3 linked regions of the Arabidopsis thaliana genome follow. The protein of the gene in region 1 interacts with the protein of each later gene in a pairwise test. Each region holds a gene or a part of one and is shown in the gene's direction. Other genes may lie near its edges.

Region 1 (3,760 bases):
AAGAAAGAGTACAACAACACGACAATGAGCGATGCGGAAACGGTTCATGAGTTTACTGGAAAATTATTGGAGCTAGTGTTTCGTATGAAGTCTTGCGGGTGGAAGGTCGAAGAAAAAATATTGGTGAAGAAGATTCTTTCCTCTTTGCCTCCAAGATTCGATAAAGTCTTAGTGGAGGTTGCAGAAAAACTTTCTGTTAATGTCATTATCGATTGCTTGTTGGTTCATGAATACAATATGAGACCGGATCAAGAGTCTTTTCAAGAATCTGTCATTCAGAGTGTTAATGTGGAAGAAAGTTTTGAAGCAGAAGCTGAAATATTATACTCTTTGAATGACATTACTCAGAGCCAAGTGGCAATGATGGAGAGACAAAGTGAAGTGTTGTCGTTGGTGCAAAAGAATCAAAAGATGCTAATGCAGATGCAAAAACAAATGATGATGTTAATGCAGCAGAAAGATCATGTGTTAGCACACTCCGAATCTTATGAGGAGGAGATGACAAAAGTGATCGAGTCTATGGAGAAACACTACTTGAAGAAAAAGTAGTTTTGTTTATTTTTGTTTGGTTTTGGTTTTTTCTTTGTTTGGTGTTCCTGAAAGTTGATTAATTACTGATCATGGATTCATTCATAAAATTCGTCTTTGCATAAATTGTGGACTTCAACTTTTGGTAATTGTGAGACTTCTTACTCGAAACAGAGACTTATTATATTTTGTCACCTCTTAAAACAGAGAAAAACAGAGAAGTATCGATTTAGAGATCAAAAGAATGTGATGTGTGCTGTTATTGTGGATGAAGAGCATTTGCATAATGTTCTAATTTGGTAGTTTTTTTCCTTCAATAATATATGATATAGTGAGCAACATCTTTAGAATATGTTTAGTAAATTTTTGTAAAACAAATTGACCTACCTCACCAAAAACAAACTTCATTGGACCAGAATTAAGTAGCCATTAGGATCAAATCAACAATAATATACTATTTATGTGATGAAATATGAATCCCCATCATTGTCCTATATGAATCAACATTTAATATATTTTAATTAGTCGAATCTTAAAAATGAATCCCAGTCATATTATCTTTATGTATGTAGAAGAAGATATAATCAACATTAAATAGATTATTATAGTACATCAACATGAATACCCCATCTTGTCATATTATATGTATGTGGGATAGAATCAACATGAATCCACATTCAGTATTCAAATTAGAAATGATCGTAGGCTATGACTCTAAAGTTAATTTTAATTTATATGATGAATGCGAGTACCCCCATTATAGATTCATACTATACATTATTTTATATGATCAAATATGAATCATCATCATTGTTCTCCTATACTTGCTCTTCATTCCGAATGTAGCAATAGAATCTCCATATTGCTTTTTACCAATTCTAACCATAAACAATTCATAGATAAATGCATGTTGGGTAGTGCTTTGTCTACTAGTAATTAATAACATTATCGATTACAATATTTGAGCAAATCAGGCAATCTTTAAATAAAAATATGTATACGATGACTCTTCCGTCCAACTAATATATTGAAAATATTATAAGATCCAAATTATTTCATTATTTATATCAAACAAAAACAAGAAATAAATAAGACTTGTCTTTGTTCATGTAAACAAGACCACTTTGTTGTTTGTTTCTCTATTTTACAAATTTGTAAATTATATTTTTGTTATGTTTCTTTCCACATTTTTATTAGGTCATCCAACTACCCACCTCCCCAAAACTATTGGAGGATCCAAGTCCTCTCTCTCTCAACCATATATCTTATATTTCCTTTGCAAAAGGATAGCCTTTATTATTTAATACACATAGATTCCATTATTGTTATGGCTACCTCATTCTATTCTATAAAGCATACATATGAGAAGAAGAAGCAAAATATAGACTATGTGAAAGATAAATGAATATTTCATATTTGTGAGACAAATTAATTAGATTAGAATTAACATTTTGTAGCTAGTCCATATTAGTGATAAATTTCCACTTATAAAGACATATTTTCCTCTTTTGTTTTTTATACGTAAGCTTGTCTTCTTATTGGCTAAAAGTAGAAAACACCAACTTGGACAACATCATTTAAATTATAAAACCCTCCAATAAATAAAACTTGGTTTATCCAATCATCTTATTTCTCTGTGCTCTCCACCATTTTACATAAACCCCAAAATCTCTCTTCATCATCATCATTCATCAACATCATCTCTCTTTCTCTATCTCGCTGTCCCTCCTTCTCTTTCTCATTCATTGCAATGGGCAGAAGATGCTCACACTGTGGAAACGTAGGACATAACTCAAGAACATGTTCTTCTTACCAAACAAGAGTAGTTAGGCTCTTTGGTGTTCATCTAGACACCACAAGCTCTTCTCCGCCGCCTCCTCCTCCTCCCTCGATTTTGGCCGCTGCAATAAAGAAAAGTTTCAGCATGGATTGCTTGCCGGCATGTTCCTCCTCTTCCTCTTCCTTTGCTGGTTATCTCTCCGATGGTCTCGCCCATAAAACACCTGACCGCAAAAAAGGTTACAACTTTGACATATTATGCCACTTTCCGAGTTTTTTTTTACAATAGGATAGTGACGTTTTTTTATTAATCCAAAAGTTCCGGGTATTAGGCCCATAATCGATTTGTATCGGAGATCAAAACATGTTAAACTGGTCATCGGTGGGATTGGTTTTGCCATAAAGATTTTGTACGTATATCCAAGTCGGACCATTTCCTAAAGCATGCAACCGCTATATATATAAGAGTAGTCAAGAAAATGATGTGTCTATAACGCGATCTTTAGCCTAGGATTTTGTTAAAAGTTTTTCCAAAAATAATAATTTGTGTTTCCGTAATTAGGGGTTCCATGGACGGCGGAAGAGCACCGGACGTTTCTAATTGGATTAGAAAAGCTTGGAAAAGGAGATTGGAGAGGAATCTCTAGAAACTTCGTCGTCACAAAATCCCCGACACAAGTGGCAAGTCATGCTCAAAAATACTTTCTCCGGCAAACTACCACTCTCCATCACAAGAGACGCCGCACCAGCCTCTTTGATATGGCAAGTAATTCCAATCTTTTCTCTATACATGCATGACAAAAGAATTTAAACTCTTTGTATCAAACTTTTATGTATTAAATCAAAATGTTTCTGTATCCAACAAAAGTCACATCTTCAAAAGTTCAAACAGAATTTTTATGTTGTTTTAAAAGTTTTCTTTCCAAGTTTTTTTTTCCCACTTAAAATATCGGAATTTTCTAAACCAAAAATTAGTCAAGATTTTAAGTTTAATCTAAGCTTTATTTTAATACCAAGTATATATGAACATATAATTTCTTGTAGAATCCGAAGAAAAAAATAGAAAATAATCTTGAATTGACAAATTTTTATATTCAACAGGTTTCGGCCGGCAATGTTGAAGAAAATAGTACTACTAAGAGGATATGTAATGATCATATTGGGTCGAGCTCAAAGGTTGTTTGGAAACAAGGATTACTCAATCCTCGTCTTGGATATCCAGATCCGAAAGTATCAGTATCCGGCTCGGGTAACTCCGGTGGACTCGATCTTGAGCTGAAGCTTGCGTCCATTCAATCTCCTGAATCGAATATTAGACCTATTAGCGTTACGTGAATCTATATAACACGTTATGATCAGTTTCATTAGAATAATTCAAATGTTTACATATATAATATCTTATCGATCCTATCTAATTTGATTTTGATTTAACGTTAGTTACTTTGATAATTTC
Region 2 (3,760 bases), on another chromosome or scaffold:
CACATACATAATTTCTAAAAAAAATGTATTCTTCAAGTAATATATCTTTCTGAGTACTAGTTTATCTATTTATCTCCGTATTTAATAATCAAAAGTTACGTTTAAAATAGAAACAACTTTTATCAAACAAAATATATTAGAAAACGCATGGTACTGGCTACTGGAAAGAATCATGACCTGTAAATTTCTACAGTTTTCCCGTTTTATATAGTACTTAGAAACTTTGGATTTTCATAGCGCAACCAATAAACACATGGACTTAAGACACAAAAAAAGTTGGGTGCAATGTCATTAATCAAACTAAAAAAATAATGATTAAAAGCATGGAATTCCGAAAACGCAACAAAATGATTCTGTGTTTAGACAAATGCAGAAAGGCCTCTTAACTAATCTTAAATAAAGTCTTAGTTCCAACCACATAAACACTCCTTAGCTCCATTAATTTTGGTTTTCTTAATTACGTTTCTACACAAGTACACGTACTTACACATACAATTCCACAGTCTAAATGATAAAACTATGTGGTTTTTGACGTCATCGTTACCTTTCTGTCGTCTCACCTTTATATAGTGTCTCTAACAGAACGTAACAACCAAATGTTTAAAAAAATAAAAACAGCACCCCTTAATTAGGCTCATTCGTTTTGCACTAACCATACTACAAATCATCTCGAACGATCGAGCAAAGATTTGAAAAATAAATAAACGTATAACTCTAGAGATTTTCATTAGCTAAGAAAAGTGAAATCGATTGTTAATCCTATTTCAGACGGGACAGGAACACTCATTACCCAACTCTATCATCTCTCGAACACCAAACTATATCTACCGTTTGGGGCATTATTTCCCACTTTCTTTCGAAGACAATTTCCCATATATAACATATACACATTATTACTAATATATTTTTATAAATTTTCGTCACATCCCAAAAAAAAACACTCTTTGTCACATCAACTAGTTTTTTTGTAACGATCAAACCTTTTCGTTTAAAAAAAAAAAACTTTTGTAGTGTAAACGTTTATTTATCGATGAAAAAAGCCACATCTTCCGGAGGGAAACTTTTTAAGACACCCTATTTCGACTTTATTTTGTAAATACAGTGTGCATGTGCATATAAAGAGAGATATCATTTGTATAAATATCAAGAATTAGAAGAGAAAAAGAGAGAAGAAGACAATCTATTACTATTACGATGTGTGGGTTGTTAATTTGTTTAAAGGGAGCTTTTCTATAGAGATTTTTAAGGTCAAGGGTCATCGTTCGATGTGGGCTTGCTTCCTACAATCTAGTTGCCTTACGGGGCCTACTCTTTTTCTTTTGATAACTACATCACCTTTTTTTTCTCCGACAACTATATATCACTTTTTTTATGTTTTCCTTTTTTTCTTCACAATAATTCTTTACTCGTTGCAAATGTAAAGATACACAAAGTTACTTATTTTGTTTACGATGGTTCTTAGTAGTTTAAAGAATTAATGAATAAGATAAACCTAAACTTTGAAAAGACTAAAAAAAATGTATAACAACATACATTATACGTATTTGAAATAGTCCAAGTGATATTATGTCATTGATATTAGCACAAATAATTACGATGCCTGATATTGTCACATTTGATGATTTTAAGTTCTTGTAAAAGATAAGTGTAACTAAATCACTATAGTGAGGCCCACGTTTTAATTTCTAAACTAATTACAATGACAATAAAATAGCAAAACTATTTAAAACTAGACGCCAAAAAAAATTGAAACTAATAATTGTGAAAAAAGAACAAGAGAATAATAATCATTAATAATTGACAAGTGAAATTAATATATTGCTCTTGGAGGGTTATATTTTAATTTTCAAACTAAATAATGAATACAAATGGAAAAGCTAATGATAAGAGTTGAATTTTAATAATTAAGAAAAACAAAAAAAGGTGTACAAGGAGACACATGCGTTTTCCTCATGCATCTTGTTTTTATACAACAATATATATATATATATTGAGTCATTCTCTGCTAGCTCTCTCATCTCCAACTTTCAGTATGATATATAGTTACAATTAAATAAACCTCACATGCTCTATTCTTGCTTGATTTTTGAGTTAATCTTGAATCTCTTTGATGATGTCAAAATCTATGAGCATATCAGTGAACGGACAATCTCAAGTGCCTCCTGGGTTTAGGTTTCATCCGACCGAGGAAGAGCTGTTGCAGTATTATCTCCGGAAGAAAGTTAATAGCATCGAGATCGATCTTGATGTCATTCGCGACGTTGATCTCAACAAGCTCGAGCCTTGGGACATTCAAGGTTTATTTCCATAAAGAAATTTTTTATGAATTAATTTTCTCTCTTTCACACTCTCATAATCCAATTTTCCGAATTTATTAATTTTTCCATATATATGAAAGTGCTGTCTTGTCTATACTACTTTCGATTCATGACGTGATCTCATGTATCCTTTTACGAGAATATGACTAGAGTACAGAGAATCTACACTTAGTTGTTGATGTTGTTTGTTCATATTCGGAGTTAGTTACTGCAAAGACCAACATAGGTTTGGTTATTATACAATTTACTATTTAAGTTTTTTTCTTCTGATTATTTTTGTCGTTATGCAGAGATGTGTAAAATAGGAACAACGCCACAAAACGACTGGTATTTCTTTAGCCACAAGGACAAAAAATATCCGACGGGAACGAGAACTAACAGAGCCACTGCGGCTGGATTTTGGAAAGCAACTGGCCGCGACAAGATCATATATAGCAATGGCCGTAGAATTGGGATGAGAAAGACTCTTGTTTTCTACAAAGGCCGAGCTCCTCACGGCCAAAAATCTGATTGGATCATGCATGAATATAGACTCGATGACAACATTATTTCCCCCGAGGATGTCACCGTTCATGAGGTATGTATTAATTCCATCATAACCTAAATACGAGTTATTCAATCAAAGGATTTGGTCTCTTTTTTGAATATCTCATTTTACATCACAATCTCGATTTTGTTTTGATTAATTATTATTTCATTGACCATTATAAAAGTTGTTACTGATGATAAGATGTACAAGTAAAAAATATCATGTAATTAATATATATATAAAGGTAATTAATATATTTTAAAAAACAATATTTATGCAAAGTATGATCGTAATTTTCTTTAATAACATTATGAAAACTATCACATATTCGTTTTCGTTATTATTTTTTTCTTAAATTCCCAATATTTAATGATAATAGTTTTAGTTACTTCTTCCCACAAATATTTCTTTTCTCCTTTGTCATATACAGACGCACATGAAACTGAAATATGAATTTTCTTTTTCTTTTTGGTTTTAACCTAAATGGGATTAGTGCAAAACATGAACTTTGCTAATATATCTTAGTTGATTTTTGAATATTTAAGGTCGTGAGTATTATAGGGGAAGCATCACAAGACGAAGGATGGGTGGTGTGTCGTATTTTCAAGAAGAAGAATCTTCACAAAACCCTAAACAGTCCCGTCGGAGGAGCTTCCCTGAGCGGCGGCGGAGATACGCCGAAGACGACATCATCTCAGATCTTCAACGAGGATACTCTCGACCAATTTCTTGAACTTATGGGGAGATCTTGTAAAGAAGAGCTAAATCTTGACCCTTTCATGAAACTCCCAAACCTCGAAAGCCCTAACAGTCAGGCAATCAACAACTGCCACGTAAGCTCTCCCGACACTAATCATAATATCCACGTCAGCAACGTGGTCGACACTAGCTTTGTTACTAGCTGGGCGGCTTT
Region 3 (3,760 bases), about 20 Mb from region 1:
GGGGATAACTCAATTTGATGACTTAATAAATTAGCCTTAAACTGGAGCTTACCGAACTTCATTAGACACTGGAAGCACATGGCTCAGTTCAGCGAAGAAGCACATTGCATTTAGAGGCTGTTCATCTTCACTTTCTAACCGTTCTTTAGTACTTTGAAAGAAATCTTTGATACTCTTTTCAGAGGCAGTAAATTTCTCCCTCAGGTCTTCGTTTTGCTTTTCGATGTACTTGACATTCTCTTTTGCCCTTTGAGACTGAAACTGGGACTCTTCGATTATTCCTTTTAATTGATCTTTTTCTTGGATGCTTTCTTCTTGGATTTTCATAGCGTCAAAGAGTGCTTGCTCCAACGCTGTTATATCAAGCTTCATGCTTTCTATTTCGCACAAGGACTCTAATGTTAAGGACGAGATGGTCTCTTCCAGTTTCTCCAATGTAAGAGACGAACACTGTAGTTCTATTTCCTTGCTCTCGAGTTCTTGCAACAACAACAAATGCTCGGATTTAGACATACACAACTCATCTCTTAAAGAGTTAACTTCTTCTTCCAGATTCCTTGATTCAGCCAATTTGAACTCAAGATCGTGCAGATGTTCATTGAGATAATTCACTTCCTTGCTTCTGAAAATTAGTTGATCCCGCAAGTAATCTACAAGGCGAAGATTAATATATGCTGAAACATATTATTATTAGTTCAGAAAAATCAAGACTGGTTGGCTTAAATAGAAAATTACCAATTTCCTTATAGCAATTCAATAATTCTTTCTCCATCATCTGAATTCTTGCTGTGTCTTCTAAGCGAGATTCAGATAATGACTTCGTGTGAAGTTCCAACCTCTGCGGTGAAGAGAAGATTAAGGTCCGAAAACTCAACCAACAGAATGAGAAAATACTTTCCCTGAATTGCTCATATTAAACAAGGAGAAGAAGACTACTCTGACTAGTTCAATACTATGGGGCTGTGATTCTCTCAGCAAGTCCTTTTGTTTCCTTAGCTGCCAATAACAAATCAAAGAGCACAAAACAAAACAGAAATCAACTTCAGCAATCTAAGAGTCAGAAACTACCTTATAATGAGCATAGCAATGAAGTGTTTACCTCCCTGCGTGTAGTCCCAATCTGCAAAAGATCTTCAACATCAAACGAGTTCTCACAATCACTTCTGGAACTACACGCCGAGCTACTGCTTCCCGAGAAACTCCCCGAGCTACTCGACATTTAGAGACAAAAATCACCACTGCAAAGGCAATGAATCATTAGCACCAATAACCTATAGAAACACTTTCTACAACTAACTTCAAACGAATCCAAGTTTTCATTCCCTAAATCAAATCAGATTTTTCTTTCAGTTTATCTTTCCACGGAAATCAAATTAGGCTATAAAAACACTTACAACAACTAAATGAAGAACTAGAGAAGACGTCAACTTCACAGGTCCAATTATTCATAAAATTAGATGAAAGCCTTGATGCTTCTACTCGATTCCTTTGAAGTAATTGGGGAAAACAGTACTACACACACCACTAGATAGCCAATTTCAACAACGAAGGATAAAAATTGCAACCACAAAAGAAAAAGCGAACACGAGAATAAAATTGATGAGCGTACACACGAATACAAGCCCAGGAAACGTTTACCTTCGCAGCTCAATCCCTCTCTGAGATAATTCCGACGGCGAATTTGCCGGAGAAATGATGTTTGAATTTGATGATCCTCCAAAAAAAAAAAATGTCTCTCGGTTTCTTCGAAGCGATGCCAGCCCAGATAAGTAAAAATGACTCTCTGCTTTGTTTAAAAAACAAAACCCGGTCAATTCCGGTCGGGTCGGTTCGGGTCAAACTAGTTATTATTTCGGATTTGGTTTATGTACTGTGAGAGTGAGAGATTTTTAGTAAGCAATCCCTCTCTAGTAATGGCGGTCGCAATACCTCAAGCCACTTCTCTTACGAACCTCGTCTTCCTCACGAAATTAATCCCACGAGGAAGCTTCACCACCATACTACCTAAGCATCATCGGAAACCAATCTTCGTATTCTCTCTCCAGACTCAATTTTCTTCTCCAGTAACCACACTCACCTCCAAAAACCCTAAAGATGATGAGCAACAGCAAAAACTCTCCTTCACCCTCAACTACCTTATCGACTCATGTGGACTATCTCCAGATTCCGCCACCGTAGCCTCTCGTAAGCTCTTACTAGATTCACCAGAACGACCCAACACAGTTCTCAACCTTCTTCGTGACCATGGATTCACCACAGCTCAAATCTCATCTCTCGTCAAGAAACGTCCTGTTCTCTTATTAGCCAATGCTGAATCTGTCCTCCTCCCGAAACTCAGCTTCTTTCTCTCAATTGGTGTCTCAAAATCTTTACTTGCTCGAACTTTAGCTTCTGATCCAACCATTTTGACTAGATCCCTTGTTAATCAGCTTATCCCTTCTTACAATTTCCTTAAAAGCGTTCTTGATTCCGATGAGAAGATTGTGGCGGCGTTGCGGAGGACGACTTGGGTTTTCCTTGAGGATCACACTAAGAACCTTGTCCCAAACATCAACTATATGGCGGAGACTGGTGTTCCTGAGAAATGTATCAAGCTGCTTCTCACGCATTTTCCTGAAGCTGTGATGCAGAAGAACCATGAGTTCCAAGCAATTGCTAAGCAAGCTCAAGAGATGGGGTTCAATCCTCAAAAATCAACATTTGTGTTGGCCATTCATGCTCTCTCTGGGAAAGGAAACAAATCGATATGGGACAAATGTTTTGAGGTTTATCAGAGATGGGGATGGTCGGAAGATGATATCATGTGTGCGTTCAAGAAGCACCCTCATTGTATGATGTTGTCTGAGAGGAAGATTAACAGAACGATGGAATATTTTGTGAATGAGATGAATATGGCGCCTAGATCGATCGCACAGTGTCCAGTGGTGCTCTTCTTCAGCCTTGAGAAGAGGATTATCCCGAGGTGTTCGGTTACTAAGGTTTTGGTATCGAACGGGCTTGTGAAAGAGGATTGGAGCTTGACGTCTTTGTTGGTTCCAGTGGAGAAAGTGTTCTTGGAGAAGCTCGTGATCAAGTACGAAGAGGAGTTGCCTGAGTTGATGAATCTGTATCTAGGATGCACCAAACTCTGAGCTTTTGTTTTTGACTGTTTTCATTATCAAATGTCAGATGCTGAGAGACATGAATCTTTGTGAAAAGAGTCTAGTGTGTAATCCAATTTTGGTAGTGAAAGGAAAGCTGATTAGCAAGCCCAACGTGTGTTTTAAAGACAGAACAATTGAAGACTTGCATGTAGAAGTAGAATCGTCATCTCAATATAAGGGCCAAAGCCAAGAATCGGTCTGCCTATATGATTTGTATACACACACGCACATATACATATACAGACACGCCTTGATAGAGTATACAAACGTACATATGTATGTGTTCATAAGAATTGGTGTGACAGTAACAGAGATTCTAAATCTTGCAGACGAGAGAAAGAGAGAGAGAGAGTTTTACAACAATATTTCTTACACGAAACGATGATCCTCATTCACCGAACCGACCTGCAAAAAACGAATATTTTATCATCAGTGAGGAATAATACATAGAGACTAATACCAAATCTATCTGCACTAGTCTAAATGAACTTACAAAGTAAGGAGATGTGAAGACAGTTTTCATTTATCAACGCCTACATCAAGTGCTTTAGAGCCCATCATCACATTCGAATCGATTTGCTTATCAAATTTCTTCTTTCTCCTCTCTTCAAAGTCTT

What was found.
Region 2: the proteins of AT5G56840 (region 1) and NST1 interact in a two-hybrid assay, tested with the Arabidopsis thaliana proteins (one large-scale study listed by BioGRID).
Region 3: the proteins of AT5G56840 (region 1) and AT5G07900 interact in a two-hybrid assay, tested with the Arabidopsis thaliana proteins (one large-scale study listed by BioGRID).

Annotation. Positions count from the first base shown.
Region 1 is NC_003076.8:22,978,511-22,982,270, forward strand, and holds the start of AT5G56840 (myb-like transcription factor family protein), read left to right. Parts: upstream 1-2,127; 5' UTR 2,128-2,278; coding exon 2,279-2,546; intron 2,547-2,869; coding exon 2,870-3,069; intron 3,070-3,408; coding exon 3,409-3,642; 3' UTR 3,643-3,760.
Region 2 is NC_003071.7:19,221,173-19,224,932, reverse strand, and holds the start of NST1 (NAC (No Apical Meristem) domain transcriptional regulator superfamily protein), read left to right. Parts: upstream 1-2,016; 5' UTR 2,017-2,110; coding exon 2,111-2,297; intron 2,298-2,608; coding exon 2,609-2,895; intron 2,896-3,392; coding exon 3,393-3,760. UniProt on the Arabidopsis thaliana protein: Transcription activator of genes involved in biosynthesis of secondary walls.
Region 3 is NC_003076.8:2,518,275-2,522,034, forward strand, and holds AT5G07900 (Mitochondrial transcription termination factor family protein), read left to right. Parts: upstream 1-1,894; 5' UTR 1,895-1,913; coding exon 1,914-3,131; 3' UTR 3,132-3,272; downstream 3,273-3,760. Other genes in the region: AT5G07890 (myosin heavy chain-like protein), read right to left, coding at 53-650, 736-838, 937-996, 1,100-1,219; AT5G07910 (Leucine-rich repeat (LRR) family protein), read right to left, coding at 3,663-3,760.